Linked DNA regions of Stegostoma tigrinum. Each later gene encodes a partner of the first gene's protein in a complex. Links are inferred from orthologs where the notes say so. Each region holds a gene or a part of one and is shown in the gene's direction. Other genes may lie near its edges.

What was found.
Region 2: the proteins of bccip (region 1) and tent5aa are in contact, whole or in part, in a crystal structure (PDB 8EXE), measured with the Homo sapiens proteins. The link is inferred for Stegostoma tigrinum from reciprocal best matches to the Homo sapiens genes BCCIP and TENT5A. Residues at the interface, in NP_510868.1 of Homo sapiens: Val57, Asn58, Ile59, Glu60, Phe61, Glu62, Ala63, Tyr64, Ser65, Leu66, Gln146, Val149, Leu150, Phe152, Cys153, Glu154, Lys155, Asn156, Cys157, Glu158, Lys159, Glu163, Lys167, Leu203, Ala204, Ala206, Thr225; in NP_060103.2 of Homo sapiens: Arg87, Gly88, Asp139, Glu151, Gln155, Lys158, Lys184, Glu185, Val188, Gln189, Lys190, Met191, Val192, Lys193, Val194, Cys195, Asn196, Asp199, Trp201, Asn213, Arg289, Lys295, Glu331, Arg334, Gln341, Asn342, His343.
Region 3: the proteins of bccip (region 1) and tent5c are in contact, whole or in part, in a cryo-EM structure (PDB 8EQB), measured with the Homo sapiens proteins. The link is inferred for Stegostoma tigrinum from reciprocal best matches to the Homo sapiens genes BCCIP and TENT5C. Residues at the interface, in NP_510868.1 of Homo sapiens: Val57, Asn58, Ile59, Glu60, Phe61, Glu62, Ala63, Tyr64, Ser65, Arg136, Gln146, Cys153, Lys155, Ala204, Gly205; in NP_060179.2 of Homo sapiens: Asp90, Asp92, Glu102, Gln106, Arg109, Lys135, Glu136, Val139, Gln140, Lys141, Leu142, Val143, Lys144, Val145, Cys146, Thr147, Asn164.

What each region holds. Positions count from the first base shown.
Region 1 is NC_081373.1:31,760,520-31,770,719, forward strand, and holds the start of bccip (protein BCCIP homolog), read left to right. Parts: upstream 1-5,964; 5' UTR 5,965-6,191; coding exon 6,192-6,308; intron 6,309-10,200. UniProt on the Homo sapiens protein: During interphase, required for microtubule organizing and anchoring activities. During mitosis, required for the organization and stabilization of the spindle pole.
Region 2 is NC_081357.1:38,176,384-38,186,389, reverse strand, and holds the start of tent5aa (terminal nucleotidyltransferase 5A), read left to right. Parts: upstream 1-5,238; 5' UTR 5,239-5,522; coding exon 5,523-6,704; 3' UTR 6,705-10,006.
Region 3 is NC_081365.1:38,339,669-38,350,639, forward strand, and holds the start of tent5c (terminal nucleotidyltransferase 5C), read left to right. Parts: upstream 1-5,968; 5' UTR 5,969-6,221; intron 6,222-10,971. UniProt on the Homo sapiens protein: Catalyzes the transfer of one adenosine molecule from an ATP to an mRNA poly(A) tail bearing a 3'-OH terminal group and enhances mRNA stability and gene expression.

The sequences.
Region 1 (10,200 bases):
AGTAGTAAGAAACATAAAACAGATTGTAAAAGCCTTTGAAGATAAATATAAAGGAAATAATTAGTAGAGATGAATGAGGGTCCATTATAGTCAGAGACAGATGAATTTATAAACAAGACAGAAATGGCAGAGAAACCAAATAAATACTTTTTGTCTGTCTTTACAGAAGAAGGCAAAAGAAGTTTCCTGAAATAATGAAGATCCAGAAGTCCAGTGACCAATTGTAGAAATGAAAGAAATTAGTGTTAGTAAAGTTATAGTATTTTGGAAATTACTCCGACTGAGAGTTGACAAACCCCTGGGGCCCAATAACCTTCAAACAGATACCTAGAGAGACAATAGATGCATTAGTGATTACCTTTCAAAAATTCTGCAATGGTGCCTACAGATTGGAAGATTGAAAATTTAACCAGACTATTTAAGAAAGAAAGGGGAGGGAAAACATCACAGCTTTATTGGCTTGCACCAGTAGCAGGTAAAATACTAGACTCTGTTTTAAAAAAATGCTTTTACTGGGTATTTAGAAAATGGTTGTCTGATTGGACAGAGTCAACATAGATTTATGAAGGGGAAATCAGATTTGACAAATGTGATGAAGATTTTGATGATGCTACTAGCAGATAACAAGTGGTTATGGGATATTTGGATTTTCAGAAGTCCTTTGATAAAGTCTCACATAGGAAGTCGGCAAACAAGATTAAAGTGCATGACATTAGGGATATTGTGCAGCAATGATTAAGTATTGGTTAACACACAGAAAGCTGACAGTAGGAATGAATAGTTAATTCTCAAGTTGGTAGGGTATCTCATTGCTTAGGCCCCAGCTGTTCATAATCTGTATCAATGATCTGGGGACCAATTATAATATTTCAAGTTTGCAAATGATTCAAATGGGAATTTGAGCTGTGAGGGGGGAGGCAATGTGGCTTTAAGAATCTTAGACTGAATCTGTACTCAAGAGCATGGTAGATGGAATATAACATTGATATGTAAAAAGTTTATCCACTTTGGTAGGAGCAACAAAGGTACAGAATATTGCATTAATGGTGTTGATTGGAAAATGTTGAAATCTAAAAAGACCTAGATGTCCTTGATCATAGGTCACTGGCAGCTAGTATGCATCTGCAGCAAGCAATTCAGAAAGCAAATCGACTGTTGGTCTTTATCCCAACAGAATCTGAGCACAGGAGTTAGAGGTTCTTGTTCAGTGTACATAAAACTGGTGAGACCACAACTAGATTATTGTACACAGTTCTGATCCTCTTGGCATAGGATTACAGTAAGGTTTACCAGATTGGTTTATGGGATGCTAAGACGGTCCGATGAGGAGGGATTGAGCAGACTGGGCCTGCATTCCCTGGAGTTTAGAAGACTGAGAGGTGATCTACGAGGTACTTACAAAATTCTTGAAGGGATAGACAGGTGTCAAGTAGAAAAGATGTTTCTTGAGGTCTCAATCCAGCAGATGTTGCCTCAGAATAAAAGCCAAACCATTTAACTTGGTGCAGGCAATTCAAGAAGCACTGTTTTGGCTTGGGAATTTAATTTATAGCCTGAGAACTATGTCCGTTATATTTATTCTAACTTTTTCCCAACTTGAATACAAGTTGCAACATGGAGAATTACATTTTTAAACTTTCCAACAATAAAAACTTGTTAGTCATGAGGCTAATAGCCTTTCCTTGGTTGTTGATTGCTAACATTGCAGCTGCCACTAAGCTCTTTTTTGAAATGATCCAAATGCTTTGCTAGATAGGAGTAGCAGTAAAACAGTTGATTCAGCACTATAGCGTTTAATAAGTTCATTTGGGTTCAGGATAATGCAGCTTTTTGGACCAGCAACAATGCCAGACCCACATCCAATATCTTGATTTCTTATTCATAGCATGATTATTCATAATCCAATTTTACATTACTCTATTACCAATGAATCCTGATGGGCAAAATTATCATGAGGAATCTGTTTAATCAATGGAAGCACAGACCCTAATTTTCCGACTCACCAATGTGAACAAAAACCTCTTATTTGCTTTGTACATGATGAAGGACTATTGATCCAGTCCAGTACATTGTCTAAACATGTAAATGTGGTGCCTGTAGTCACTGTCTAAGTGATTAAGATCTGAATGAAAAGCAAAATCACAATGGGCACACTTTTACATGGGTTAGTGACGGAGGGACAGCTTACCCAATGCATCCCCCACACCCCACAGCAAAGTCAGTGAGGAGTGGATTGACCAAGAAGAAAGCCACGCTGCAGCTGTAGCTATTGCACAGGAGGGGATAGGGGTGTTAGTGCTGGTGTATCAATTGAATTCGTGGATGAGACTGGGGCAGCTACCCATCACTGGGGAGAGGTCCCACCTCTTGAAGCTGCTGACCAACCTCATTAACTAATCGCTCCAGAAGTCAGTTTGGCTCCTGTCCACCTACCATGGTATGGGAGTGAGCTCAGAGATGGGTGAGAAAGGGGTGAGGTTGGCACCCTTCCAAATTTACATACCCACTCTGCCAAAAACACAGAGGTGCATGTAAAATTCAGACCATATCTTGCAATGCTTCCCTCTATGGTTCGCTTTGTGCATATCAATATTGATCTTTCTGTTGCCCATTCAGAGTATTTATGCCACTCAGTGTCATTTCCTACTATGTACATATCTCAGTCACTCAACATACAATCCCTTTGCATGTAGCTGTCAGTCAAACTATGCCTTTGTCAATGTGATATTCTGTAAGCACCTGTGATTGAATTGTTAACTGTCACTCTTACTCAGTACGTAGCTGGGTGTCAGTATTCTGCTAGATAGGTGTCATTCAGTTTATGCGGCTCTATATGTAACTGAAATTCATACTGTTTTATCCTTGTACCACTCATCTGATATGTACCTCTCTCTGTAACTTCTCAATCTCTTGATTCTTTCACTGTTTCTAAATTATCAGACTAGTTGTCTGACATCTAACAACAAAAATCACTTCCAATTAAATATTGGGAAGATTGAAACCATTGTCTTCAGTCACTACCACAAATTCCATTTCATCACGCTCTACGGCAACCATCTGAGGCTGAACCAAATTATTCATAACATTAGCAGAATATCTGACCTCAGTACCCGTTTCAGACTATATATCTGCCATCACCAAGACTGTCTGATTTCTAACTCCGTAGAATTACCACTACCTCAGCGCATCTGCTGGAACAGTGATCCACACTTTTGTTATTTCTAGACTCAACCAGTCTAAAAAGCTCCTGGCTTCCTTCCCACATTCCAAAATCTTAAGCTCATCCTAAATTCTGCAGTGTTCTTGCATTAGTCTTATTCATTCATCAATCCTTTATTAGCCAAATTGTACTTGCTTCTGATCAAACTACTCCCAAGTTTTAAAATTCAAATTTTTTTCAAATCCCTCCATGGCCTCTCTCTGGAATTGCCTCCAGACTCTCTATGTGTTTCTGACTGTACATTTCTGTCACTTTATTTCACTGTCAACTATAAATGGATCAAAGGATATAGGGCAAAGTCAGGAGCAAGGTATTTAATTGGATCATCAGCCATTATTATTCTGAATGGCACAGCAGGCTTGAAGGGCTGAGTGGCCTATTCTGGCTCCTATATTCTATGGTTCTATGTCAATGTTTCTACATGGTGGCTCAGTGGTTAGCACTGCTGCCTCACGGCACCAGGGGCCCGGGTTTGATGCCAACCTCAGGCGACTGTCTGTGTGGAGTTTGCACATTCTCCCCATGTCTGCGTGGATTTCCTCCCACAGTCCAAAGGTGTGCAGGGTAAGTGGATCGGCCATGCTAAATTGCCCATAGTGTTGAGGGATGTGTAGATTAGGGGGATGGGACTGGGTGCGATGCTCTGAGGGTCAGTGTGTAGATCTGTTGGGCGAAGGGCCTGTTTCCACTGTAGGGATTCTATGATTTTCTACTTCTACGATCATTTTGAACTGTCACATTGTCTATGTTTTTGACTGTAGCTTTTTGCATATTTCAGGCTGGCACTGAGTATTGTCACTCTCTATATTTCTAACTGTCACTATATATGTACTTGAGGCTATCCATTTCTATGTATATCAATCTGGCACTTTCTGTATATTTCAGGTAGTCCTTTAAATGTCAGCTATGTACCCAGAGGTTATCACTCACTCTTTACATTACTTACTATCATTGACTATGTATTTGATGGTCACTGTACATTTTGGACTGTTCTTCTCCTTACATATTTTAGACCACCCCTCCCTGTATTTCAAATGTATCTTTATAATTCAGACTGTCCCTCTCTATGTAAGAAGGATCTCTATATTACAGGAGATTTCTTTTTATATTACTACAGGGACCTTTACATTCCAGAAGTCTCTCTCTTTATTAACAAAAGGTACCTACATATTTCATACTGTCCCCTCTCTGCATTGTAGGCGGATCTCTGTATACGCCACACTATCCCTCTCCATGCATTTCAGATAGATCCCTATATTACAGACAGTTTGCTCTCTCCACCACATACTGCATCCTGTCTGGACTCCCCAGATTTCAGACTGTGCCAATTATATTCCTTCTGCAACAGTATTCCAGATCGCCTCAATAGTATTCCAGACTACCCCTCCCCTCGACAGTCCAGGCACTCCCACATATTCCAGACATTTATATTCCAGACACCCCTGTATTACTCATGTCCTCCCGACAATCCAGGCCCCTTCATGATATTCCAGTCCTCACCATTTCCAGACTCCCTCCTACATCCAGACCCCTACATATTCCAACTCGTACCCCATATTCCAAAGATTACTCTTTCCAGATCCACCCCTATAATCCAGACTCCCCCAATATTTCAACCGTCCCTAAACTCCACATCTCCCCTTATACCCGAATCCACTATATTTCAGTTACGACCTATGTTCAGTCCCCCTTACATTCCAGATGTCCTCTACATTTCAGTTCTGCCTACTAAGAGTCCAGTCCGTACCTATAATCCAGATGCCCCCTACATTTCAGTCCCTCCCTGTATTCCACATCCACCCTACATTCTCATCCCCCATATTCCAGTCCCCACAATTATATTCCAACTCCCCACTTTATACTAGATCCCCTCTCTATTCCTGTCTTACTATGTTCCAGTGCTTCCTTATATTCAATCCCCTATATTCCAGTACTTCTCTATATCCCAGATGGCCCTACATTCCAGTCCCCAATGTTTCAGTCCTTGTCAAATTCCAGATCCACCCTATATTCTCAACGCCAATATACCCGTACCTACACCTTTATTCCAGTCCTTCCTTAAATCCCCACTCTATTCCAGTTCCTACTATGTTCCAGTACTTCTCTATATTCAGTCCCCAATATTCCAGAACCTCTCTGGACTCCAGATCCCCCCCATATTTCAGTAAACCCCTAGATCCCAGATCCATCCTATACTCTAATCCTGCTATATTCCAGTTTCCCCAATTACTTTTCAAATCCCTACTTTATTCCAGCCCCTCTCTGTATTTCAGATTAAACCTACATTCTAGTCCCCCTATACTTCAGATCCTCTCTCATATTTCAGTTATTTCAGTTCCTTCAAGTTACTCCCTATGTTCAGTACCACCTACCATCCAAATCCCCCTCCCCTTTATTTCCAGTCCTCTTCTATTCCTGCACTCCCATTTTCCAGATTCCTTTCTATTCCAAACCACTACATTCCATGGTCCCACCACCCCCATATTCCAGTCCTCCCTTTATCCCAGTAGCTCTCTCTCTTAGGATCAGGTGTGGAGCTGCAAGAACACAGCAGGCACGGCAGCATCAGACGACCAGGAATTCCCGATGTTTCGGGTGTGGACCCTCCTTCAGAAATCTCCTCTCTATTCCTATTCCCACCGCGCCCCCATTCCAGGTCCGCCCTATATCTACAATACTACAGACTTATTTCTCACTCACTGCCAAGGCGTTCCCACCGATGACGTCACCGCAGGTCGCCCGCTTTGGGGTCGAAGGTCATGAATGGGCAGCGCCAAATGATCCCTGCACCCAACAGTAGCTTTAATCTGACACTCACAGAAAGAGGTGTTTCTTCACACTTCACACGATACGGAATCGCAGATGATTTTCGCGGCAAGTGGGAATGGTTGTCACGGTTTAGAGCAATGATTTCCGGCTGTGGAAAAGGCCCCCGGGCAGTGTAGTTTCCGCTGACGTTGCGCTCTGGAAGATGGCGTCTTCGGCCAAACGGCGGCAGCTGGATCCGGCAGTAGAGGAGTCTAGGGGAAGTGGAACGGAGGAAGAGTCTGGGGACAGTAGTGAAGAGTCGGAGCCGGAAATACACCAAGTGAGAAAAATAACGGTCGACCCAACCGTCACCGCCCGCGAGACGGGTTTAGAACCCGAGCGCGCGCAGCCACTGGGGAGGTGGGGAGCACAGAGAGCGGGAGAGACTAGAGGATACAGGAGGTGAATTAGGCCATTCAGTCCATCAAATCTTCTCCAACATGGCCGATGTCTTTCTCAATCCCATCCTCTTGCCTTCTGTTCTCCCCATCGCCATCTCCGCCTCAAGAGGTAGCAAGAACTGCAGATGTTGGCGTCAGCGAAAATACAGCGTGGAGCTGGAGGAATACAGCAGGCCAGGCAGCATCAGAGGAACAACTTTCCGGCTGCCCTGGCTCCCTGTGTTCTTCCAGCTCCACAGTATTATCCCCACAATAACCCTTCATCCCCCTTACTAATCAACAACCTATCTGTTTCTTTTCAAGAGTGAGAGAGACTCAGGACGGAAGAGAAATGGATATGGACACAAGTGGAAAAAGTCAGGGTAGATAAGATGGAGTAGTGGAGATTGGGTGTGTTGAGGGAAATGGGAAATGGGAAAGGGTAGTGGGGCAGAGGAGAGGGTAAAATTGTATCAGAGATAATGGGAACTGCAGATGCTGGAGAATTCGAGATAACAGAGTGTGGAGCTGGATGAACACAGCAGGCCAAGCAGCATCTCAGGAGCACAACAGCTGACGTTTTGGGCCAAGGCCCTTCTTCAGAAAAGGGGGAGGGGGAGGCAGATTGAAGAAGGATAGAGGAGAAGATAGGTGGAGAGGAGACAGACAAGTTAGAAGGGCAGGGATGGAGCCTGTAGAGGTGTGTGCAGGTGGGGAGGTAGGGAATGGATAGGTCAATCTGGGGAGGACGGATAGGCCAAGGGGGTGGGGTGAGGTTAATAGGTAGGAAATAGAGGTGCGGCTTGAGGTGGGAGGAGGGCATAGGTGAGAGGAAGAACTGGTTAGGGAGGCTGGGATGAGCTGGGCTGGTTTTGGGATGCAGTGGGGGGGGGGAAGAAGGGAGATTTTCAATCTTGTGAAATCCACATTGATACCATTGGGCTGCAGGGTTTCCAAGCGGAATATGAGTTGCTGTTCCTGCAACCGTCGGGTGGCGTCGTTGTGGCACTGCAGGAGGCCCCGTATGGACATGTCGTCTGAGGAATGGGAGGGGGAGTTGAAATGGTTCACGACTGGGCGGTGCAGTTGTTTATTGTGGACCGAGCGTAGGTGTTCTGCAAAGCGGTCCCCATGCCTTCACTTGGTTTCCCTGATGTAGAGGAGGCCACAACAGGTACAGCGGATGCAGTATACCACATCGGCAGATGTGCAGGTGAACAACTGCTTGATGTGGAAGCCCGCCTTGGGCGTGGGATGGGGGTGAGGGAGGTGATGTGTGGGCAAGTGTAGCACTTCCTGGGGTTGCAGGGGATAGTGCCGGGCGTGGTAGGGTTGGAGGGGTGTCTGGAGCAGACAAGGGAGTCACGGAGAGAGTGGTCTCTCCGGAAAGCAGACAAGGGTGGGGATGGAAAAATGTCTTGGTGTTGGGGTCAGATTGTAGATGGTGGAAGTGTTGGAGGGTGATGCGTTGGATCCGGAGGTTGATCGGGTGGTATCTGAGGACGAGGGGGATTCTCTTTTGGTGGTTATTGCAGGGACGGGATGTGAGGGATGAGTTGCGGTGAATGCAGGAGGCATGGTCGAGGATATTCTCGAACACTGCGGGGGAAGTTGTGATCCTTGAAGGATGAGTTATGTCTGGGATGTACGGGAGTGGAATGCCTCATCCTGGGAGCAGATGTGGCGGAGGTGATGGAATTGGGAATAGGGGATGGAATTTTAGCAGGAAGGTGGGTGGGAGGAGGTGTATTCCAGGTAGCTGTGGGAGTCGGTGGCCTTGAAATGGATATCGGTTTCTAGATGGTTGCCTGAGATGAAGACAGAGAGGTCCAGCAAGGTGAGGGATGTGTTTGGAGATGGTCCAGGTGAACTTCAAGGACCGCGACTTCCCCTCCGCAGTGGTCAAGAATGCTCTCGACCGTGTCTCCCGCATTTCCCGCAACTCATCTGTGATTCCCTTGTCTGCTCCACACTCCCCTCCAACCCCACCACACCTGGCACTTTCCCCTGCAACTGCGGGAAGTGCTACACTTGCCCACACACCACCTCCCTCAACCCCATCCCATGCTCCAAGAAGACCTTCCACATCAAGCAGATGTTCACCTGCACATCTGCCGATGTGGTATACTGCATTTGCTGTACCTGTTGTGGCCACCTCTACATCAGGTAAACTAAGTGGAGGCTTGGGGACTGCTTTGCAGAACACCTATACTTGGTCTGCAATAAACAACAGCACCTCCCAGTCACGAACCATTTCAACTACCCCCCCCTTTCATTCCTCAGACAACATGTCCATCCTGGGCCTCCTACAGTGCCACAACAATGCCACCCGAAGGTTGCAGGAACAGCAACTCGTATTCCGCCTGGGAACCCTGTAACCCAATTGTGTCAATGTGGATTTCACAAGCTTCAGAATCTCTCCACCCTCCCCCCTCACCACCACTGCATCCCAAAACTAGCCCAGCTCGTCCCCACCTCCCTAACCTGTTAGACCATAAGGCCATAAGACATAGGAGTGGAAGTGAGGCCATTCAGCCCATCAAGTCCACTCCGCCATTTAAATCATGGCTGATGGGCATTTCAACACCACTTCCCTGCACTACCCCCCGTAGCCCTTGATTCCTTTTGAGATCAAGAATTTGTCGATCTCTGCCTTGAAGGCATCCAACGCCCCTGCCTCCACTGCACTCTGCGGCAATGAATTCCACAAGCCCACCACTCTCTGGCTGAAGAAATGTCGTCTCATTTCAGTTTTAAATTTACCCCCTCTAATTTTAAGGCTATGCCCACGGGTCCTAGTCTCCCTGCCTAACGGAAACAACTTCCTAGCGTCCACCCCTTCTAAACCATACATTATCTTGTAAGTTTCTATTAGATCTCCCCTCAACCTTCTAAACTCTAATGAGTACAATCCCAGGATCCTTAGCCGTTCATCATACGTTAAACCTACCATTCCAGGGATCATCGCTGTGAATCTCCGCTGGACACCCTCCAGGGCTAATATGTTCTTCCTGAGGTGTGTGGCCCAAAATTGGACACAGTATTCTAAATGGGGCCTAACTAGAGCCTTACAAAGCCTCAGAAGCACATCGCTGCTTTTATATTCCAACCCTCTTGAGATAAACAACAACATTACATTCACTTTCTTAATTACGGACTCTACCTGCAAGTTAACCTTTAGAGAATCCTGGACCAACACTCCCAGATCCCTTTTGCACTTCTGATCTGCGAATTTTCTCACCGTTTAAATTGCCTGTATTTTTTTTTTCCAAAGTGCAAAACCCCACATTTACTCACATTGAATTTCATCAGCCATTTCCTGGACCACTCTCCTAAACTGTCTAAGTCTTTCTGCAGCTTCCCCACCTCCTCAGTACTACCTGCCCGTCCACCTATCTTCGTATCATCAGCAAACTTCGCCAGAATGCCCCCAGTCCCTTCATCCAGATCATTAATATACAAGGTGAACAGCTGTGGCCCCAACACTGAACCCTGCGCGACACCACTCGTCACCGATTGCCGTTCCGAAAAAGACCCTTTTATCCCAACTCTCTGCCTTCTGTCAGACAGCCAATCCTCAATCCAAGCCAGTAGCTCACCTTGAACACCATGGGCCCTCACCTTGCTCAGCAGCCTCCCGTGAGGCACTGTATCAAAGGCCTTTTGGAAGTCTAGATAGATAACATCTACTGGGTTTCCCTGGTCTAACATACTTGTTACCTCTTCAAAGAATTCTCACAGGTTTGTCAGGCATGACCTCCCCTTACTAAAACCATGCTGACATGTTTTAAT
Region 2 (10,006 bases), on another chromosome or scaffold:
AGTGTTGCCAAACAGAGGCCTAGGGGTGCAGGTGCATTGTTCCTTGAAAAGTGGAGTCACAGATAGGCAGAGTTGTGAAGATGATATTTGGCACGCTGGCCTTCATTGATCAGGATATTGAGTATAGGAGTTGGGATATCATGCTGTGGCTGTAGAGGACATTGCTGAGGTCACATTTGGAATACTGCGTACAATTCCGGTTTAGATTAGATTAGATTAGATTCCCTACAGTGTGTAAATAGGCCCTTTGGCCCAACAAGTCCACACCACCCCTTGAAGCATTCCACCCAGATGCATTCCCCTATAACCCACACACCCCTGGACACTATGGGCAATTTATCATGGCCAATCCACCTGGCCTGCACATCTTTGGACTGTGGGAGGAAACTGGTGCACCTAGTGCAGACACCCACGCAGACACGGGAAGAAAGTGCAAACTCCACACAGACAGTTGCCCAAGGCTGGAACCGAACCCGGGTCTCTGGCACTGTGAGGCTGCAGTGCTAACCACTGAGCCACCATGCCACCCATATGGCAGACCTTGCTTTTAAATTTCTACAATCGCTTCATGTATGTACATTAGAATAATTGTATTTGCAACAGTGGTTCCCAAGGAACTCCTCACTTAAACGTTTGCTCCTACTCTAACTCTGCTAAGGATTATAAGCTCACACTTTGTTCAGAACTTGCTCCTAAGTGCCCACAAATTTGAATTCAACCAACAATTGCTCATCTCCAATTTTATATAAACAGATGTGCCTCAGCCATATAATTGGAAGGGTATTGTTAAACTTGAGAGGTTGCAAAAAGATTTATAAGAATGACAATAGACAATAGGTGCAGGAGTAGGCCATTCGGCCCTTCTGTTGCTGGGTTTGGAGGTTTGAGCTGTAGGCAGAGGCTGAATAGACTGGGACTGTTTTGCATGGAGCGTTGGAGACTGAGGGGGTGACTTTATAGAGGCTTACAGAATCATGAGGGGGCTGGATAAGGTGAATAGCCAAGGTCTTTTCCCCAGCACTGCAGAGTCCGAAACAAGGGGGCATAAGTTTAAGATGAGAGAAGAAAGATTTAAAAAGACTCGAGGGGCAACTTCTTCATGCAGAGGATGGTTTTGCATGGAACGATCTGCCAGAAGAAGTGGTGGAGGGAGGTACAATTACAACAGTTAACACACATCTGCATGGGTATGTGAATAGAGGGATATGGTCAAATGCTGGCAAACAGGACCACGTCAGATTGGAATGTCTGATTGATGCAGATGAATTGAAATGATGGGTCTGTTTCTGTGCTATGACTTAATGTCCCCTGATCACTGATTCCTCCACCTAGGGGAAATGTTTCTTTCTGCCTACCTTATCCATGCCCATTATAACTCTATACATTTCAAACATGTATCCTCTAAACTCTTCTAATCTCCAGAAAACAACCCTAGTCTATCCAGTATATTTTCATAACTGAAATTCTCCAGCCCACAACATCCTGGTAAATCTCCTCTACACTCTCCCCAGCACGAGCACATTCCTCCCATAATGTGGGTTCCATTCTTCTGATTTGTATCTTAAATGGGTGGCCGGTAATTTTAAACAGTAACCCCTACATTCTACATTCACCCAGTGGAGGAAAGATCTTTTCCACATGCACCCTGTCAAGACTCTTCAGGTTTTTTGTGTGTATCGAACAAGTCATCTCTAAACTTCCAACAGATACAAGTATAGCCTCTCCAATCCTTCATAAAACAACTCACCCTATAATTTGTATCAGTGATAATGGGAACTGCAGATGCTGGAGATTCCAAGATAATGAAATGTGAGGCTGGATGAACACAGCAGGTCCAGCAGCATCTCAGGAGCACAAAAGCTGACGTTTCGGGCCTAGATCCTTCATCAGAGAGGGGGATGGGGTGAGGGTTCTGGAATAAATAAGGAGAGAGGGGGAGGCGGACCGAAGATGGAGAGAAAACAAGATAGGTGGAGAGGAGAGTATAGGTGGGGAGGTAGGGAGGGGATAGGTCAGTCCAGGGAAGACGGACAGGTCAAGGACGTGGGATGAGGTTAGTAGGTAGGAGATGAAGGTGCGGCTTGGGGTGGGAGGAAGGGATGGGTGAGAGGAAGAACAGGTTAGCGAGGCAGAGACAGGTTGGACTGGTTTTGGGATGCAGTGGGTGGAGGGGAAGAGCTGGGCTGGTTGTGTGGTGCAGTGGGGGGAGGGGGCAAACTGGGCTGGTTTTGGGATGCGCTGGGGGAAGGGGAGATTTTGAAGCTGGTGAAGTCCACATTGATACCATTGGGCTGCAGGGTTCCCAAGCGGAATATGAGTTGCTGTTCCTGCAACCTTCGGGTGGCATCATTGTGGCACTGCAGGAGGCCCATGATGGACATGTCATCTAAAGAATGGGAGGGGGAGTGGAAATGGTTTGCAACTGGGAGGTGCAATTGTTTATTGCGAACCGAGTGGAGGTATTCTGCAAAGCGGTCTCCAAGCTTCCGCTTGGTTTCCCCAATGTAGAGGAAGCCACACCACGTACAGTGGATGCAGTATACCACATTGGCAGATGTGCAGGTGAACCTCTGACTAATGTGGAAAGTCATCTTGGGGCCAGGGATAGGGGTGAGAGAGGAGGTGTGGGGACAAGTGTAGCATTTCCTGCGGTTGCAGGGGAAGGTGCCGGGTGTGGTGGGGTTGGAGGGCAGTGTGGAGCGAACAAGGGAGTCACGGAGAGAGTTGTCTCTCCGGAAAGCAGACAGGAGTGGGGATGGAAAAATGTCTTGGGTGGTGGGGGTCGGATTGTAGATGGCGGAAGTGTCGGAGGATGATGCGTTGTATCTGGAGGTTGGTGGGGTGGTGTGTGAGAATGAGGGGGATCCTCTTTGGGTGGTTGTGGCGGGGGCGGGGTGTGAGGGATGTGTTGCGGGAAATGCGGAAGACGCGATCAAGGGCGTTCTCGACCATTGTGGGGGGCAAGTTGTGGTTCTTGAAGAACTTGGACATCTGGGATATGCGGGAGTGGAATGCCTCATCGTGGGAGCAGATGCGGCGGAGGTGGAGGAATTGGGAATAGGGGATGGAATTTTTGCAGGAGGGTGGGTGGGAGGAGGTGTATTCTAGGTAGCTGTGGGAGTCGGTGGGCTTGAAATGGACATCAGTTACAAGCTGGTTGCCTGAGATGGAGACTGAGAGGTCCAGGAAGGTGAGGGATGTGCTGGAGATGGCCCAGGTGAACTGAAGGTTGGGGTGGAAGGTGTTGGTGAAGTGGATGAACTGTTCGAGCTCCTCTGGGGAGCAAGAGGCGGCACCGATACAGTCATCAATGTAACAGAGGAAGAGGTGGGGTTTGGGGCCTGTGTAGGTGCAGAAGAGGGACTGTTCCACGTAACCTACAAAGAGGCAGGCATACCTGGGGCCCATGCGGGTGCCGATGGCCACCCCCTTAGTCTGTGGGAAGTGGAAGTTGTTGAGGGTGAGGATGAGTTCGGCTAGGCGGTTGAGGGTGAGGACGAGTTCCTTGTCAGGGGACTGGTCGGTATTTAAGCTGATTAATATTAACCGGGTTATTGTTATATAGAATTATTCTGAAAATTACCTCTGATAATGAATTATGTTAATTTATATGGGATTAAGATTAATGGGTCTGCATTTGATTGTGGCACGTTGTGTTATGTCTTTCCGACCTACTGCTGCTTCCTGATCATTAGGGCTTTACCAATCTCTTCCGAGGTATGGAGCTCTGCTCAACTACCAATTAGAGGATTGTAAATAATCAGAGATATGTGTTAAGTTGATATATCCTTAAAATTTAGTGTACTATGTTTCTAACAAATCCGTTTACTGCTTTCCGCAACTCGTTTTACATTGCATGAGTTTGGCTGTTGGACACAAAACCCATTGTAACGGGAACAGAGTTACTTCTGCTCCCGGAAAGGCCACAAATGAGGATCATCGAAATATTTCATCTAACCGTCGTTTGTACTGTTTATTTCAGTCTGCAACGGCTATTTTCGTTGAAACAACAAAAACAGAGATTGGGAATGATTACTGTTAATTTGCGGACTGTCGCTATTTGTAGTACTGCCAACAGGAGGCGCAGTTAGCACGCTACACTGACACTTGCCCCAGACAGACTGTACAACTTGCAACATTCGTGCAGTCACGTTTTTTTTAAACATTTTTGCTCGCTTGGTTTTTAAAGCAGTTCGGTTACACAGGCTGCAATTTATAAGATATGTGGGAGATATATTTAAACTGGTCAAATCCCTTCGGAACAGGCATAACTTCCGATAATCTACTTTATCCGGGTCTCAGTGTCTGGTAGGATTCCAAAGTGCTTCAAGCAGTTTTACATTTAAAATGACGCGCACACACAGCTGACTTCGACTTCACGGGAAATACGAAACGAGCTTCAAGAAAATACTGGCGAAATTATTCCCTACCGATCGCAATATCATTTGCACCGTCGAGATATCCAGTCGCGGTGTCAAATGCAACTTATGTTAACAACAGCAATTAACATTTCGCCGGTTTTTTTCACTTATTTCTTTCGAAAGACCACCATTTGGTTAGGAAAATACAAGGGTCTCATTAAAATCAGGGTGTGTAAAATGACAGGGTCTTGTGCAGTGGAAATGAATTACTGTAATCTTCACAATGAATCGCTCGCGTTTGAAGTCTTTCATGTCAGCAGCCCTAACCCAACAGGTTCCCCCGGGCTCGAAGGTTATAGGTAACTCCAGAATTCCCAGCACTGAGGGGAGAAATCCTGTTGGTTGTTAAATAAGTGATATATTTAAAAGTCCGGTTTGTCGGCTGGGGTGCAGGATGACAAGCAGCTGTTTGGAATAGAATTCCTCACTGACATTAGCCACACAGCAGCCTTCACTTTTCATTGAATTTCCCTGGGACAGTAAATTACACCTCGCGAGGAGCCCCGCCCCTAGCCGGCGGTGATTGGCCGTACGGAGCCACTACTAGGCGGGCGCCAGCTACCTATTCGCCTGTACAGTTGTCAATCAGCGTGTCTCCGCCCACCCAGCTCTCCAGCTGCTGAGAATTGATACATTCATGGAAGAAATGGGTATGGGGAGGGAGCTGGTGCGAGAAAAGGAAGAGGGTCCTTTCAATCCTCACTTGCCACCAGCTTCATTTTGGAAACCCTAGCCCCCCGCCCACTCCATTCCCGGAAAACACTGATTGTGGGGGACGGGCAGAAAAATATTAAAAGTTTAAGCAATGTGCATTATTTTGAGTCGTTTAAGGTGCGAGCGAGCGCCAGGCCTCAGCAATTTATGCAAATATAATAGGCGTGCCATGTCCGTGACTCACTACCGGAACTGCACGGAGAAGCCATATAAAAACTAATGGGAGAGTTAATACGCAGATAGCTAGAGCTTTGCGGCTCGCGCAGACGAGGGAATTAAAAAAAAGCAGAGAGAAGGAGGATAAGAAATTGATCACGTCTGTAAAATAATAAAATAAATCTCTCCCCCTCTCTGTCATTCTCTGACGAAGTGAGCCTGCACATTACAATGGCTGATGAAAATGCCAACACGAAATGCAGTAGTTTTAACGTTCTGAACTGGGAGCAAGTGCAGCGGCTGGACAGGATCCTGACAGAGACGATCCCGATCCACGGGCGGGGAAACTTCCCGACCCTGGAGCTGAAGCCCCGGCAGATCGTGCAGGTGGTGCGGAGCCGCTTGGAGGAGAAGCGGATCCGGGTGCGGGATGTGAGGCTGAACGGCTCGGCGGCTAGTCACGTCCTGCACCAACGCAGCGGGCTGGGCTACAAGGACCTGGACCTTATCTTCCGGGCTGACCTGAGCGGGGACAAGGAGTTTCAGACCGTCAAGAACGTGGTGCTGGATTGCCTCTTGGATTTTTTGCCCGAGGGCGTGAACAAGGAGAAGATTACCCCGCTGACCCTGAAGGAAGCCTATGTGCAGAAGATGGTGAAAGTTTGCAACGACTCGGACCGCTGGAGCCTCATCTCGCTGTCAAATAACAGCGGCAAGAACGTCGAACTGAAGTTCGTGGACTCGCTGCGGCGCCAGTTCGAGTTCAGCGTGGACGCCTTCCAGATTAACCTGGACTCGCTGCTGCTTTTCTATGAGTGCTCGGAGCACCCCATGTCCGAGCACTTCCACCCCACCATCCTGGGCGAGAGCGTCTACGGCGACTTCGAGGAGGCGCTGGAGCATCTGCAGCACAAAGTAATCGCCACCAGGAACCCCGAGGAGATCCGCGGCGGCGGCCTCCTCAAGTACTGCAACCTGCTGGTGCGGGGCTTCCGGGCGGCCTCCGAGAGCGAGATGAAGGCGCTGCAGCGGTACATGTGCTCCCGCTTCTTCATCGACTTCTCGGACATCGGCGAGCAGCAGAGGAAGCTGGAGTCCTACCTGCAGAACCACTTCCTGGGCCTGGAGGACCGTAAGTATGACTATCTGATGACCCTACAGAGGGTGGTCAACGAGAGCACCGTCTGCCTGATGGGACACGAGAGGAGGCAGACCTTGAACCTCATCACCATGCTGGCCCTCCGGGTCCTGGCTGAGCAGAACATCATCCCCAATGTGGCCAATGTGACCTGCTACTACCAGCCGGCTCCTTACGTGACCGACGCCAACTTCAACAACTACTACATCGCCCATGTGCAGCCGGTGTTTACCTGCCAGCAGCACACCTACTCCACCTGGCTGCCCTGCAACTGAAAGGAAGGCAAGAAGGCTTTGCTGTGATACGGACAAAAGGGGCAAAAAGAGCAGAGGGTGAGAACGCAATGGGGAGGGCACAGCACCTTTCTTTGTGGTTTGGATCGGGGTGGGAGAAACACACTATATATACACACACACACACACACACACACACTAGAAAGTTCGACCCTGCCCTGTCTTGTTTAGTGCAATGCTGATCTGCTCAACTCTTCAGAGCTTAACTTTTAATTAAAAAAAAATAGCTCGCCTGCATTTTTTCCCTCTAGTTGAGGCAGATCGAAACTGTTTGAGAGAGGGGAAGGGGAGTAAAATCACATTCGATTTAACCCCGAGCCAGGAGGTGGGTATGGCAGCTTTAAAATGCTTCTTTTTAAAAAAAAACAAAATGACAAACATTGTTTTTTGCTTTGGCTTTACCTCTCCCATTCTGGCTGTCATCCTACAATGACAACATGGGAATTCAGCACCCGTACACTCTTGTGGTCGGGACTGACCAGCCCCTTTTAACAAAAAATGCTGATTTGGGGGTGAAGGAGAGGCTCAGATTTTCCCTTGCCTGTTCTCCGATAAATTCATACAGCAGAGAAGCTGAAACCTAGAGGTCCGTCTCGTGTTGCCTTCTGTAAACAGGGTGGGGGACCGGTTGCATTTGGGGGCTTGCGATCGCCATGTATGGGATGATACACCAAGTGAAACTGCTTCTTCGCAGTTGCATGCTTTTTTTTTGAGTGCTTTCTAAACTCTAATGGTTTTGCTCCAGACGCAGGATGCAGGATTATTATCAGATGACGACAGAAGTCGCTATTGTGCTATCCGCGGCTCCTGGTTTCAGAGAGCGTACACTTCACTTTTATTTTGGACGTGAAAGTGTGCAGAACGCTTGGCTAATATAATGTTCAAGGACCAAAGATATTTTTCGTTTTATATATGTACAGTATATCAACAAAAAAAACCCATGGACAAGAACAGATGTGGCTAATTTATATTTGTCTACATGAACATGAATCAAAAGTGCCTATTATCTATACGAATGGGAATGGAGATACTGTATTCAAATCTTGTGGCTTAATCCACATTTTTCTTTATCAGGGACAAAAAGAACGTGTTCTTGCACGAATTACTAAATTCCCTATTTTCTTGGAAAATACTTGTACTTCAGAAAAAAGTTGCTGTTTATGTGATAGTTTAAAAGTATGTATTGTCTTGGACAGTGTAGCACTTAGGTAAGTGTTTAAACAAAGTACTTTATATTTTCCAGTTTATAATAAGAGGTTCCTTGGCACTTTGTTTCCTCACTCAGAAAAGGTATAATATGTCATGTGCCACAGTTGCGTTTGAGTTTATGAACTAAATAAAGCACAGTTGGATGTCTGGGGATATATACAGGTGAGAGAGAACTGTGAAATCTTGTAGTTTGCTTATAACACCAACCTAATTGTGAAGTCAGATAAGTAATCCAATTGAATCCTCCTAGAAATGAGGATGGGATACACCTGAGTTGCTCATAACTGGGCTTGTGTATGATCAGGTTGGCTGTCCCAGCACTTCATTAATCATATCCAAATGTGTTATTCTTAATCTAGTTTATGATAAGATCACGTGATTACTTTACTTTATATGACAATTTTGAGGAACAAAATCACCAAAAAAAACCCCTGATTTAGGGCTGCAAACCAAATGAAGTGTTTGACACCTGACTAACCTAAAAAGGTCGGGGAAATACTTGAGCACAAGCCAATGGAAGTTGAATCGGAAAGTGACAATTCAATCTGGATTCTGATTAGGCATATTGGTGGGAGGGGGGTGGGGGGACCTGCCTGTTGTATACTGAGGGAAGGGTCTGCTATCAGTTATTTGACCCATGACAACAACAGCTGTCATTTTGCATAGGCATGTAGTTTTTTTTTTAAACACTGCAACCAAAACATGGTATGTCCAGGTATTACCATTACCCCCACCTCTATCACTGTTCTCCAGTTCAGAAATATGCTTAAAAATGGAGATTGAAGTTTATGGTAAATTGATGAATGAACTGTTTAAGTGACTGCCAGCAGGAGATTGTGCCTGTCCTTTAATCTCTTTAAAATACTTTAATCTCCAATTCTAGTTTACCATGTGTTCCAAATTTGCTCTTTATTGGTGTGCATTTTGGCCAAAGTTTATTATACCTGGATCCATTAAAACATTCCTATAACATGTTTGAAAATTGTAAGAGTTTTGAGCCAGGAGGGGGAGAAGAACTTTGCATTCTGAGCTCTTACAATCAGGAGCTAGGAGAAGTCTTGCCCAATTTGCAGTGGGGAAAGAGTTGTACTGGTTTTTGAATGCACATTTTTTAAAAAAAATGTTCAGTTAATTTTGAAAACAATCATCGTCTGTTACTTGGAAATAAGCACATTCTATTGAGAGAGGTAGGCTTAAAAATGTGCAACAGAATGAACTCAACCGTGCCCTTTGTTTGCTTTATCAAGAACTTGTGTTTACTGTTGCACGTCACTTATACATTCTACAGGACCTGACAAACTGCTTGAAATACAGCACATTGTTTACTTGAGGGAGGTGGGGAAATACCTTCTTTGCCCGACATTGAATGGCATGTATCTTGCTGTTTGTTCAGTGTATTACCCCAGTGATTGATCATGCAAAGGAAAGATTTGTTTCCTCAGTCGGTAGCAGTAGATGCAAATCAGAAGTAGCACATATCTGTCAGAATCACTGTACACCTCGCAGCTGCCTGTTTGCCTTTGAACTAAAGCATGTAGAGAAGGATTGGGGAGATAGGATCAGCTGGTGATGTGGTACATTCATTCTTATCAGTTATTTGGAGTTCCCATGGAAGCCATTCTTCAGCAGTGAGTCATCCTTTATTAGGATCAACACTACTGTGGGAGGCTTGTAGACATCGCTTGTAAAGAGCAAGTCTGTAAAACCACAACATTAGATAACTCTCTTTCAAGCATTGGGATTGGGAGTGGGAAAGCAAAAGATTTAGGAGACCTAAACTGGTTCCAAAACGTATCACTGCCACGATATCAAACTGGTAAAGAAAGAGTTTAAAAAGCAGTGTTGCAGCTAATATTGAGATAGCTTAAAACTACTCTGCCAAATTGTTAAGTGGAAATTGGTAGTAGAGGCTGCAAACTATGAAGCCTCAATGTGTTTTTCTGATTTGGTTGAGAACTGGTAAGGAGGAGGGGGAGCAAAGGGATGAAGAATTTGCACGAATTCCAGTTAATAGCACATGTAGCAACACAATTGTAACACGTGTAGCAACACGACAGGCTGAAATTACCAACTTT
Region 3 (10,971 bases), on another chromosome or scaffold:
TTTATTCCAGAACCCTCACCCCATCCCCCTCTCTGATGAAGGGTCTAGGCCCGAAACGTCAGCTTTTGTGCTCCTGAGATGCTGCTGAGCCTGCTGTGTTCATCCAGCTTCACATTTTATTATCTTGGATTCTCCAGCATCTGCAGTTCCCATTATCACTCACGCAGTATTCCAAGTGCGGTCTAACCAAAGTTTTATAGAGCTGCAACAAGATCTCACAACTCTTAAACTCAATCCCCCTGTTAATGAAAGCCAAAACACCATGTGCTTTCTTAACAACCCTGTCCACTTGGGTGGCCATTTTAAGGGATCTATGTATTAGCACACCAAGATCCCTTTGTTCCTCCACACTGCCAAGAATCCTATCCTTAATCCTGTACTCAGCTTTCAAATTCGACCTTCCAAAATGCATCACCTCGCATTTATCCAGGTTGAACTCCATCTGCCACCTCTCAGCCCATCTCTGCATCCTGTCAATGTCCCGCTGCAGCCTACAACAGCCCTCTATACTGTCAACGACACCTCCAACCTTTGTGTCGTCTGCAAACTTGCTGACCCATCCTTCAATCCCCTCATCCATGTCACTAATAAAAATTACAAATAGTAGAGGCCCAAGGACAGAGCCCTGTGGAACACCATTCACCACTGACTTCCAGGCAGAATATTTTCCTTCTACTACCACTCGCTGCCTTCTGTTGGCCAGCCAATTCTGTATCCAGACAGCTAAGTTCCCCTGTATCCCATTCCTCCTGACCTTCTGAATGAGCCTACCATGGGGAACCTTATCAAATGCCTTACTGAAGTCCATATACACCACATCCACAGCTCGACCCTCATCAACTTTTCTAGTCACATCCTCAAAGAACTCGATAAGGTTTGTGAGGCATGACCTGTCCCTCACAAAGCCGTGTTGACTGCATTTGATCAAGCCATGCTCTTCCAGATGGTCATAAATCCTATCCCTCAGAATCCTTTCTAACACCTTGCAGACGACAGACATGAGACTTACTGGTCTGTAATTGCTGGGGATTTCCCTATTTCCTTTCGTGAAGAGAGGAATTACATTTGCCTCTCTCCAGTCCTTAGGTACGACTCCAGTGGAGAGCGAGGATGCAAAGATCCTTCCCAAAGCAGCTGAGGACAAATCTGGTCCAGCCCTGGCGACTTGTCAATCTTAATGTTTGACAAAATTTTCAGCACATCAGCTTCCTCTATCTCTATCCATTCCAGCATGCACACCTGCTCTTCAGATATATTCAAAACTATGGGTTGAAGGTGGTAATATGAAGTTAGATTGCAGATGGTTTCAATGCTGGAATTGGCTCTAGGAGCTAAGTGGCCCACCGCAGCTTATATGTTCTTATAATTGAGAGCAGACTGATGGGGGGTGATAATTAGCTTCTGTGAACAGGATATACCTGAACAAGTTTCCACTTTCTGTGTGATGCTAGTGTGGCACCTATACTGGAAAAGCTTGGTGGTAGGCACAAGCCGTCTAGAGCAAGATAACAAAGCGTGAAGCTGGATGAACACAGCAGGCCAAGCAGCATCTCAGGAGCACAAAAGCTGACATTTCGGGCCTGGAAGGGTCTGGGCTTCTGTGTCAGCTTCTGTGCTCCTAAGATGCTGCTTGGCCTGCTGTGTTCATCCAGCTTCACACTTTGTTATCTTGGATTCTACAGCATCTGCAGTTCCCATTATCTCTGATCAGCCATCTCGAGCACTTGTTTTCAACACTGCAGCTGGGATGTTGGTGGCGCCTAACACCTTTGCACTCTCCGGTGCGTTCAGCCATTCCTTGATATCACATGAACCAAAGTGAATTCAGTAAAATCTGACATCTGTGATGCTGAGGATTTCAGTTGGATGCTTTTAATGGATCAGCTACTCAGCACTTCTGTCTGAAGATGGTTGCAGATCCTTCAGCCTTATCTTTCCCACATGCTCCCTGGGCTTCGTGATCATGTTTACAGAGTCTCTTCTTCATTTTTATTTATCCTGGCTGGGATTGATATGGATTGCACAGCATTGTTTAGAGCATGCTGCTTCCATTGGGTTGTAGCTTCACCAGTGAGGCTACTCATATTCAGTTATACCTCGTCTTGATACAATCTTTTACACTCTTCATTGAACTGAGGTTGATTCCCTTGCTTGATAGTTATGGTTGAGTTCGGAAAGTACTGGTGAGCTCTAACATTACAGATTGTGTTAAAATACAATTTTGCTGCTGATGATAGCTGCTGCACCACGTGGGTGCCTAATTTTGAGATGCTAAATCTGTTGGGTGTCCAACCCACTTAAACAATGATAATTCCACACAATATTAGGGAGGGTGTCATAATTAAAAGTAGTTCTACAATAGTAATGCTTTTGAATGTCAAGGAAAGATGGTTCGATCATTTTTTGTTGGATGGTCATTACTTGGCATTTGTATGGAATGAATATTATTTGCCGCTTATCAGATCAAACCAAAATGTTGTTGCATATGGTACAGGTTACTCTGTATCTGACAAGTTGTAATTGATACTGAACATTACTATCATCAGCAAGCAACCCAACAGTATTTTGGAAGCAAGGTAATTGACGATGCTTAAGTCTAGGACACTACCTTATGGAGATCCATAGCCATTCCCTGGTTGACATCCAACAATCGCACCATCTTCCTTTGTGTTAGGTATAAGTCAAACTAGTGCAGAGTTTTCCCCTGATTGCCATTGCCTAATTTTATAAGTGCTCCTTGATACCATTTTAGGTTAAATGCTATTGTCAAGTACAGTGACTCACATCTCATTTCTGGACTTCGACTCTTTTGCTCATGTTGGATCAAGACTAGAATACAGTGTGGAGATGTTTGAAAAGGGCTTGACTAAATCTAAAAGAGCACCAATGAGCAGATTATTGTGATGAAAAAGCTCCTTCATTGCATCTTGATGGTGGCTTCTGTCAGTATACTAATGATTGAGAGTAGATCAATGAACAGTAATTGACTGGTTTGGTTTCATCCTTTTTTTTGTGGACAAGTCTTAACCAGGGAAATTTTCCCACATTGCTGAGCAGATGCCAGTGCTGTACTTTATTTATTTTTTTTCACTCATAGGACATAGGAGTCACTGGATGGCCAGAATTTATTTCCCATCCTTAGCAGCCCTTCAGAAGATGGTGGTAAGCTGCCTTTTTCACCCACTGCAGTCCATATATTGGACCAAATTGGCTAGGGGCACAGCCAGTTTTGTAGCATAGGTTTTCAGTACTATTGCCAGATTGCTGTCAGGGCCCATAACTTTTGTAACAGTCAATGCTTTCAACCACTCCTTTACATTACATGGAATAAATCAAATCAACTGAGGACTGGCATTTAAGATCTTGGAAACTTCAGGAGGAGGTTGAGTTGGAATAAGCACTCTGCACTTTTTGCTTGAGATGGTTGCAAATACTTCAGACTTGTATTTTGCACTAATATGAGCTCAATAATTCCCAGTAATTGAGGATGAGGAAAACTGTGGAGCCTCCTTCTCCATGGAGTGATTTAGCTATTCACTGTAACAATACAGGGATAATAAGTCAGATTAATCAGACTCAACAACATTGGAAATGGCAACACAGTGAAATTAAAATATTCAATGACCCTCAAAATCACAGAATTGCTCCTAACCAGATTTTATGAATAACAGGTATTGAACACTAAATTCATAGTTTAAACAAAGTTTAACAATTTATTAGTAGTACCTCAAGTTTAGCTCAGTTAAACAACAAAGTAATCTAATTAATGTCTAAAATTTAAACCCAATCTTCTTTGATCATATTCCCACTCACACACATACATGGACAGACAAACACAATTAAGGTTAAATTAGAAAGAAAATAAAAGTGTTGTAACTGGCCAGTTCACTTAAGCAGTTTTTAACAATGGTTGCTAAGTCTTCATGCAGTCCTGAATAATGAGTTGTTCACAGGCACGTGACTGTACATTGTACTTGAATTCCAAAATCACCAGTCAATCTATTCAGCTTCCGCAAACTGCTGGAGACACTTACTTAAGTCTCATAGACTGGGGTTCTTTTCTCAGAACTTTCAATAATTCTATTAGAGAATGACTACACAGCAACCAAAACTCTGTCCAGCAGCTTTTAGAGCCACACTGCCTTCTATACAAAACCCAGTCCAAACCAGTTAAATATATAGTTGCTTTTTTTTGTCATTTTATCTTTGTTTGACTGGCTGGCACTGGCCTTCCTTTGTCCTTTTTAATATCATAATACATCTCCAGTACCACAACATCTTCAGTATTCAGAGAACAATAACTAAGCTGCAATTATTTTTTAAAGCCAATTTCCATATCAGAAATTTTGTTCATTGCTCTTTCTAAAAAAAGCTGCTTGTCTAAAGTTCAACTCTCAATTTCAGCTCACTGTTCCAAACCAAAACTGTTAAAAATCATGAAATAATCCGTGATGGTCCATCATTCATGACTGGGTATGATAGGACTGCAGAGCTTAGCTCTGTTTTGCTGGTTGTACCATGAAGTAGCTCTGTCTATAGAACTGTAGTCAGTTCTAGTAAGACTGTCATGAACTGATGCACTTTCAACAGGTAGCTTGGTCTGGATGAAAACAATTTGGTTTCTCTCTTCTGTTCTCTAATCATCTATTGACGTGAAACATCAACTTTCCTGCTGCTCTGATACTGCCTGGCCAGCTGTGTTCCTCTAGCTCCACATTGTGTTATCTCAACCCATCAGAATAGTTGTTGGCCATCTGCAGATTTTTTTTTGCTTTGTTTGACTTAAAGCAATGAAACTTTTGCACAGAGTCTGATGTTGACTTGTCTATTCCTGTGTTTCTAATCTGGTGGTTTTCATGGTGTGTAGTCGCATGTTAAAAGTGAGTGAACTTCCACATTTTAAATTTCCCCATGAATGTCAGTATTTGTGAGTGCTGTATCCATTTATAATATAGATTCTCTGCTACAAAGTTGTTCTGGTGAAAAAGAATCAATTTCTCATTTATAATTAGTTTTACATTCCTGTGCAGCTGATTTGAAATAAAAACACATTTTTCTCAGCTAAGTAAGCCAACTGCTAACAGCTTTCATCATCGTCAAATCTGCAACATGTCAACTATTGATTTACTAACACTGGAAGGAATGTCAACTCCGGTGCTGGGTTTAAAGACGGTGAATTGGCAGGAAAGGTGAAATATTGCTGAAAATGTACAACAAATTCAAATACAAATAGCAGTGTCAGACTCAGGAGCAAGCGTAGGCTATTCATACTTCCAACCTGCTGTTTGCCTCTTAATAGGATAATGGTTGATCAGGTTGTACTTTCCTGCTTGCTTTCCATAAACCTTGACTTCCTTGTTTATCAAAGATTTATCTGACACTGCCTTGAGTAAATTGAAAGGCCCAGCCTCCACTACTTTCAAAGCGATTTCCACTGACAAACCTCTGACTCTAAGAAAATAATCTCATCTCAGTTTTAAAAGAAAAGCGCGTCCCTTATTTTTAATTTTCGCAACTTTAACGACACAATCGCGGAAAAGAAGGAAAATATCAGTTTCATCAAAAAAAGTAGTGAGAATTGCTATGTTAGAAACTAAAAGATTGATAGCCACGGACTCTAATTTACATTTCTTCCCCCTTTTCACACCCAACCGATTTTATTGGATTCAATAGAAAGTTTCCAAAATCCTGCACGAAGCAACTTCAATTGTGATCATTCCTGTGGAATACTCGAGTTGAAGTGAGGATAGGCAGACGAGGAAGCCAAGTTGTTGAAGGGAAGATTGGAGGCAGGAGCTGGACCGTATCCGGTGGCGAAGGTGACATTGGGTCTGGAGTTGCTGCTGTTTGCTTGTGCCGACAGCAGAGGGGGTGTTGCTACTAGCTTCAGGCTGACAGGTTGGCTTTCCGCCCACAGGTCTGACGATTCTATCTCCATGGAGATATGTTTACGTACAGATCACGGCGAGGTCTGCAGCTGAGATCCCATTTATACAGGCTGATGCGGACACATTGATCGTACTGAGCGGCGGACAGAGAAGCGCCCAGACTGAGGAGGATCCTCACAAGTTGCCCGACAAGGACTTCACGTGGAACTGCACCCAGGACACTTTTAATTCTAAAACAAACATCATGTTTCGGTTCACTTACGAAGCGTTGCCTCTGACTTTCTGAGCAGCAAAGAAAGTTTGGTCAGCAATTCCATTGCACTATTTGCAGGGGTGAGTAAGACCGCAGAGCTAGCTGTAATCTGTCACATTTCACCGCAGACAGCGCCACCATTAATGTCCTGAATCAGCAAATACTATTTTTAAACAGTGTCAGACAAGGATACGAACACCTAATTTATACATTCAGAGCGCGTGTCTATATATAATAGAAATGCTTAAATAAGGGAACGTTAATTAACAACTTCCAGTAAAATTGCTAGCTATGTGTTTTACTGCGGTGTACCTCGAAAGGCATGTGTGCCTTTTCTAATAAGTGTCAGGCAACACCTATTTCAACTTGAAAAAATTACGATAAAATGTATGAATGTAAGTAGAATATAATCATGTAATAAGTGTGTAAATTATGGCATTCCAACGAACAGGTAAGACGGATCTCTGATGCAGTTGCAGGCACAATCCTTGTCTTTTTTTTAAAAAAAGAATTTTGTGAATGGTAAATCTTATTGGTGCATTATCCACTGACCTTTAATTCCACCGAAAGTTTATTTTTCTCCGAAAAATGTTAAGATGTAAAGCGAACGCTAAATTGTAAAAGTTCACTTTCGTCCGAAATAGTTTGAAAGATAATTTTATGAAGATATGAAGTAGCAGGCTCTTTTACAAGAATCTAAGATGATTACATATACCAAGCTTTATCTTTGTATGGACACACATATGCCCAGATTATGAGACTAACAGCGAGCACAATAAGTAAGAGTCGCTTTCAAAATTTTACGATGTGCAAATTGCTATCTGGTGATGGATTTATTTTTAAAAGAACACATCGTTCTGCAACATATTCAAAGTGAAATATAAATAAAGCACATCTGAGGTCTGTTCCGATTTTGTATTTTGGGCTGCGAGTAAGATCCTTATTTTAAAATAGCGTATGATGTGGGGGGCCACGGGGCTAGAAATAGCGACCAGTTGGACCCGATACACAGCTCATTGGGAATGATACATGTAAATTATCAGTCACTTGTACATACACCCCATCCCGCCTCACAATAAACGATTGTTTGAAACAGTTCCATGCTAAGTCCATGTACATTTGCGTCAAACTGTAAAAAAAATGAGAAAAATTGATATCTTTAATCCTATCAAAGACATTCTGTGGAATTGGTAATTCGGCGAAAAATACGAACTGAATGTACTTTGGCGAGATCTGTGTGTACAGTATTAAATGTAAAAAAAATTTAAAAAGGCAAGGTCCTTTACAAATCTGATTAACAAGACAAGAACACTTTGTAACAGCAGACGGTCTTGGACGACTTAAACTTAGATCCTGGAACTGAGAAGGCGGAGTGCAGCCTGGTGGCAGGAAGTGGTAATACATGGCACTGGAGTTATGAAGTTCTCACTGTGAAGGAACAGCAGTACACGAGCGACAGCAGTGAATGTTACGTTTTGGCATTTACAGGTTAATGCTCAACCTGTTTGCTTGTGCTATGTGCTATGAATGCATCTTCCTTGACATCAACCCCTGGACTAGGCTTTAAACACAGAGCTCTGGTTCAATGGCACAGACCCTGCCAACTGTGCCACAATCCCCAAATTTACATCAACAAGCAACTTTAAAAAATCCTGAGCGCTTTACGATAGTAAGGAGGTATCTGTACCGAGATATTTTTGTGTTAGAGAAAATAGTCTCCCATACTAATGAGAGCAGCATTTATAATTCAATACGTTGCTTTGTATTGCACCTGTAAAGCGCCTTGCAACGTTTCTTTGAGAGAAACGGTATTTCAGTGTAACTTCTTGTTGTTTATTGCTTCAAAGGATGGCGGGATAACGATTTACAAAGTTCTCTTTAATGATTATAATTCATCTAAGGAAGATATTCTAATGCCCTCAAATTGTTTGTAACAGTTTGAATTATTCAGTCTACTACTTCTTTCGTTGTTAAATCAATGAAAATAAATTGAATCGTTTTTATGAAGAAGAGTTTCCCGATATCACACCGACATTTACATTTTACTAGATACCCAGAAAGTCTTGTGGCACAGCTGGCAGGGTCTGTGCCATTGAACCAGAGCTCTGTGTTTAAAGCCTAGTCCAGGGGTTGATGTCAAGGAAGATGCATTCATACCACATAGCACAAGCAAACAGGTTGAGCATTAACCTGTAAATGTCAACGTACGCCAAGGTATGAGACTTGTTTGCCTTGGCTCTACTCTCAGTTTAATGTGAAGGGTTAACTTTCTTTTAGTAACCTTAACACGCTTTTAGAACACCATATAATCACCTGCAAGATTTCCATTTTTGTTTGAAAAGCTGATATTTCTTTGACAATTCAGATTCCTGGCACTGGGGTTCAGGCAAATTGCACAGAAACACTGTCTACAAAAGCAGAAATTACAGGAAAGGCACAACAGGTCTGGTAGCATTGGTGGAAAAAAAAGTTTCAGGTTCAGTGACCCTTTGTCAGATCCTTCCTCTGAGGAAAGATCACTGAAACCAAAACATTACCTCTGATTTCTCTTCACAGATGCTGTGAGACCTACTGTGCCTTTCCAGCAATTTCTGCTTTTGAAACTGTCTATGGAGCCTGATTATTTTTCTTGTTTGTCGGTCAGCTCTGAATGCAACATTATAGATGGGGATTGAAATAGAGCAGGTCACAATTTGATCCTCAGACCTATGTCCCATGGCAGGATGATGGTTGGCTCACATTGGTTCGACTTGCATAAAGTGGAACCTATTAAGAAACAAAGCCTCTTTCAACTTCACCCTGAGATAGTTGGATATCTTTCAAAAATGGGGTCAATGATCAGTGATGTTATGACACACCTCTGGAGCAGGTGGGACTTGAACCCAGGCTGGACTTCCATAAGGCATTTCATAAAATGCCACACAAAAGCTTAATACACAAGGGAAGTCACATGGGGTTGTGGGTCATTTATTATCTTGGATAGAGGATTGGCTAGCCAACAGAAAACATAGAGTCAGAATAAATGTCTTTTTCAGGTTGGGAAGACATAACTGGTAGGGAGCCACGGTGCTCAGTCCTCAGCTCCAATCCATACAATTGGATGTGGGGATGGAAAGTACTATAGTCAAATTTACAGATGATACTAAAACAGATGGGAAAATGAGTTGTAATTAATAATAAAAAAGAAATTTACAAAAGTCTCTTTCAATTCCTCCCTCTTCCTACAGACTAAGGGGGTGGCCATGGGCACCCGCATCGGCCTCAACTATGCCTGCCTCTTTGTAGGTTACATGGAACAGTCCCTCTTCCGCACCTACACAGGCCCCAAACCCCACCTCTTCCTCCGTTACATTGATGACTGTATCGGCGCCGCCTCTTGCTCCCCAAAGGAGCTCGAATAGTTCATCCACTTCACCAACACCTTCCACCCCAACCTTCAGTTCACCTGGGCCATCTCCAGCACATCCCTCACCTTCCTGAACCTCTCAGTCTCCATCTCAGGCAACCAGCTTGTAACTGATGTCCATTTCAAGCCCACCGACTCCCACAGCTACCTAGAATACACCTCCTCCCACCCACCCTCCTGCAAAAATTCCATCCCCTATTCCCAATTCCTCCGCCTCCGCCGCATCTGCTCCCACGATGAGGCATTCCACTCCCGCACATCCCAGATGTCCAAGTTCTTCAAGGACCGCAACTTTCCCCCCACAGTGATCGAGAACGCCCTTGACCGCATCTCCCGCAACACATCCCTCACACCCGGCCCCCGCCACAACTGCCCAAAGAGTATCCCCCCTCGTTCTCACACACCACCCCACCAACCTCCGGATACAACGCATCATCCTCCAACACTTCCGCCATCTACAATCCGACCCCACCACCCAACACATTTTTCCATCCCCACCCCGTCTGCTTTCCAGAGAGACCATTCACTCCGTGACTCCCTTGTTCGCTCCACACTGCCCTCCAACCCCACCACACCCGGCACCTTCCCCTGCAACTGCAGGAAATGCTACACTTGCCCCACACCTCCTCCCTCACCCCTATCCCAGGCCCCAAGATGACTTTCCACATTAAGCAGAGGTTCACCTGCACATCTGCCAATGTGGTATACTGCATCCACTGTACCCGGTGTGGCATTCCTCTACATTGGGGAAACCAAGCGGAGGCTTGGAGACCGCTTTGCAGAACACCTCCGCTCGGTTCGCAATAAACAACTGCACTTCCCAGTCACAAACCATTTCCACTCCCCCTCCCATTCTTTAGATGACATGTCCATCATGGGCCTCCTGCAGTGCCACAATGATGCCACCCGAAGGTTGCAGGAACAGCAACTCATATTCCGCTTGGGAACGCTGCAGCCCAATGGTATCAATGTGGACTTCACCAGCTTCAAAATCTCCCCTACCCCCACCACATCCCAAAACCAGCCCAGTTCCTCCCCTCCCCCCACTGCACCACACAACCAGCCCAGCTCTTCCCCTCCACCCACTGCATCCCAAAACCAGTCCAACCTGTCTTTGCCTCCCTAACCTGTTCTTCCTCTCACCCATCCTTTCCTCCCACCCCAAGCCGCACCTCCAACTCCTACCTACTAACCTCATCCCACCTCCTTGACCTGTCCGTCTTCCCTGGACTGACCTATCCCCTCCCTACCTTCCCACCTATACTCTCCTCTCCACCTATCTTCTTTTCTCTCCATCTTCGGTCCGCCTCCCACTCTCTCCCTATTTATTCCAGTTCCCTCTCTCCATCCCCCTCTCTGATGAAGGGTCTAGGCCTGAAACATCAGCTTTTGTGCTCCTGAGATGCTGCTGGGCCTGCTGTGTT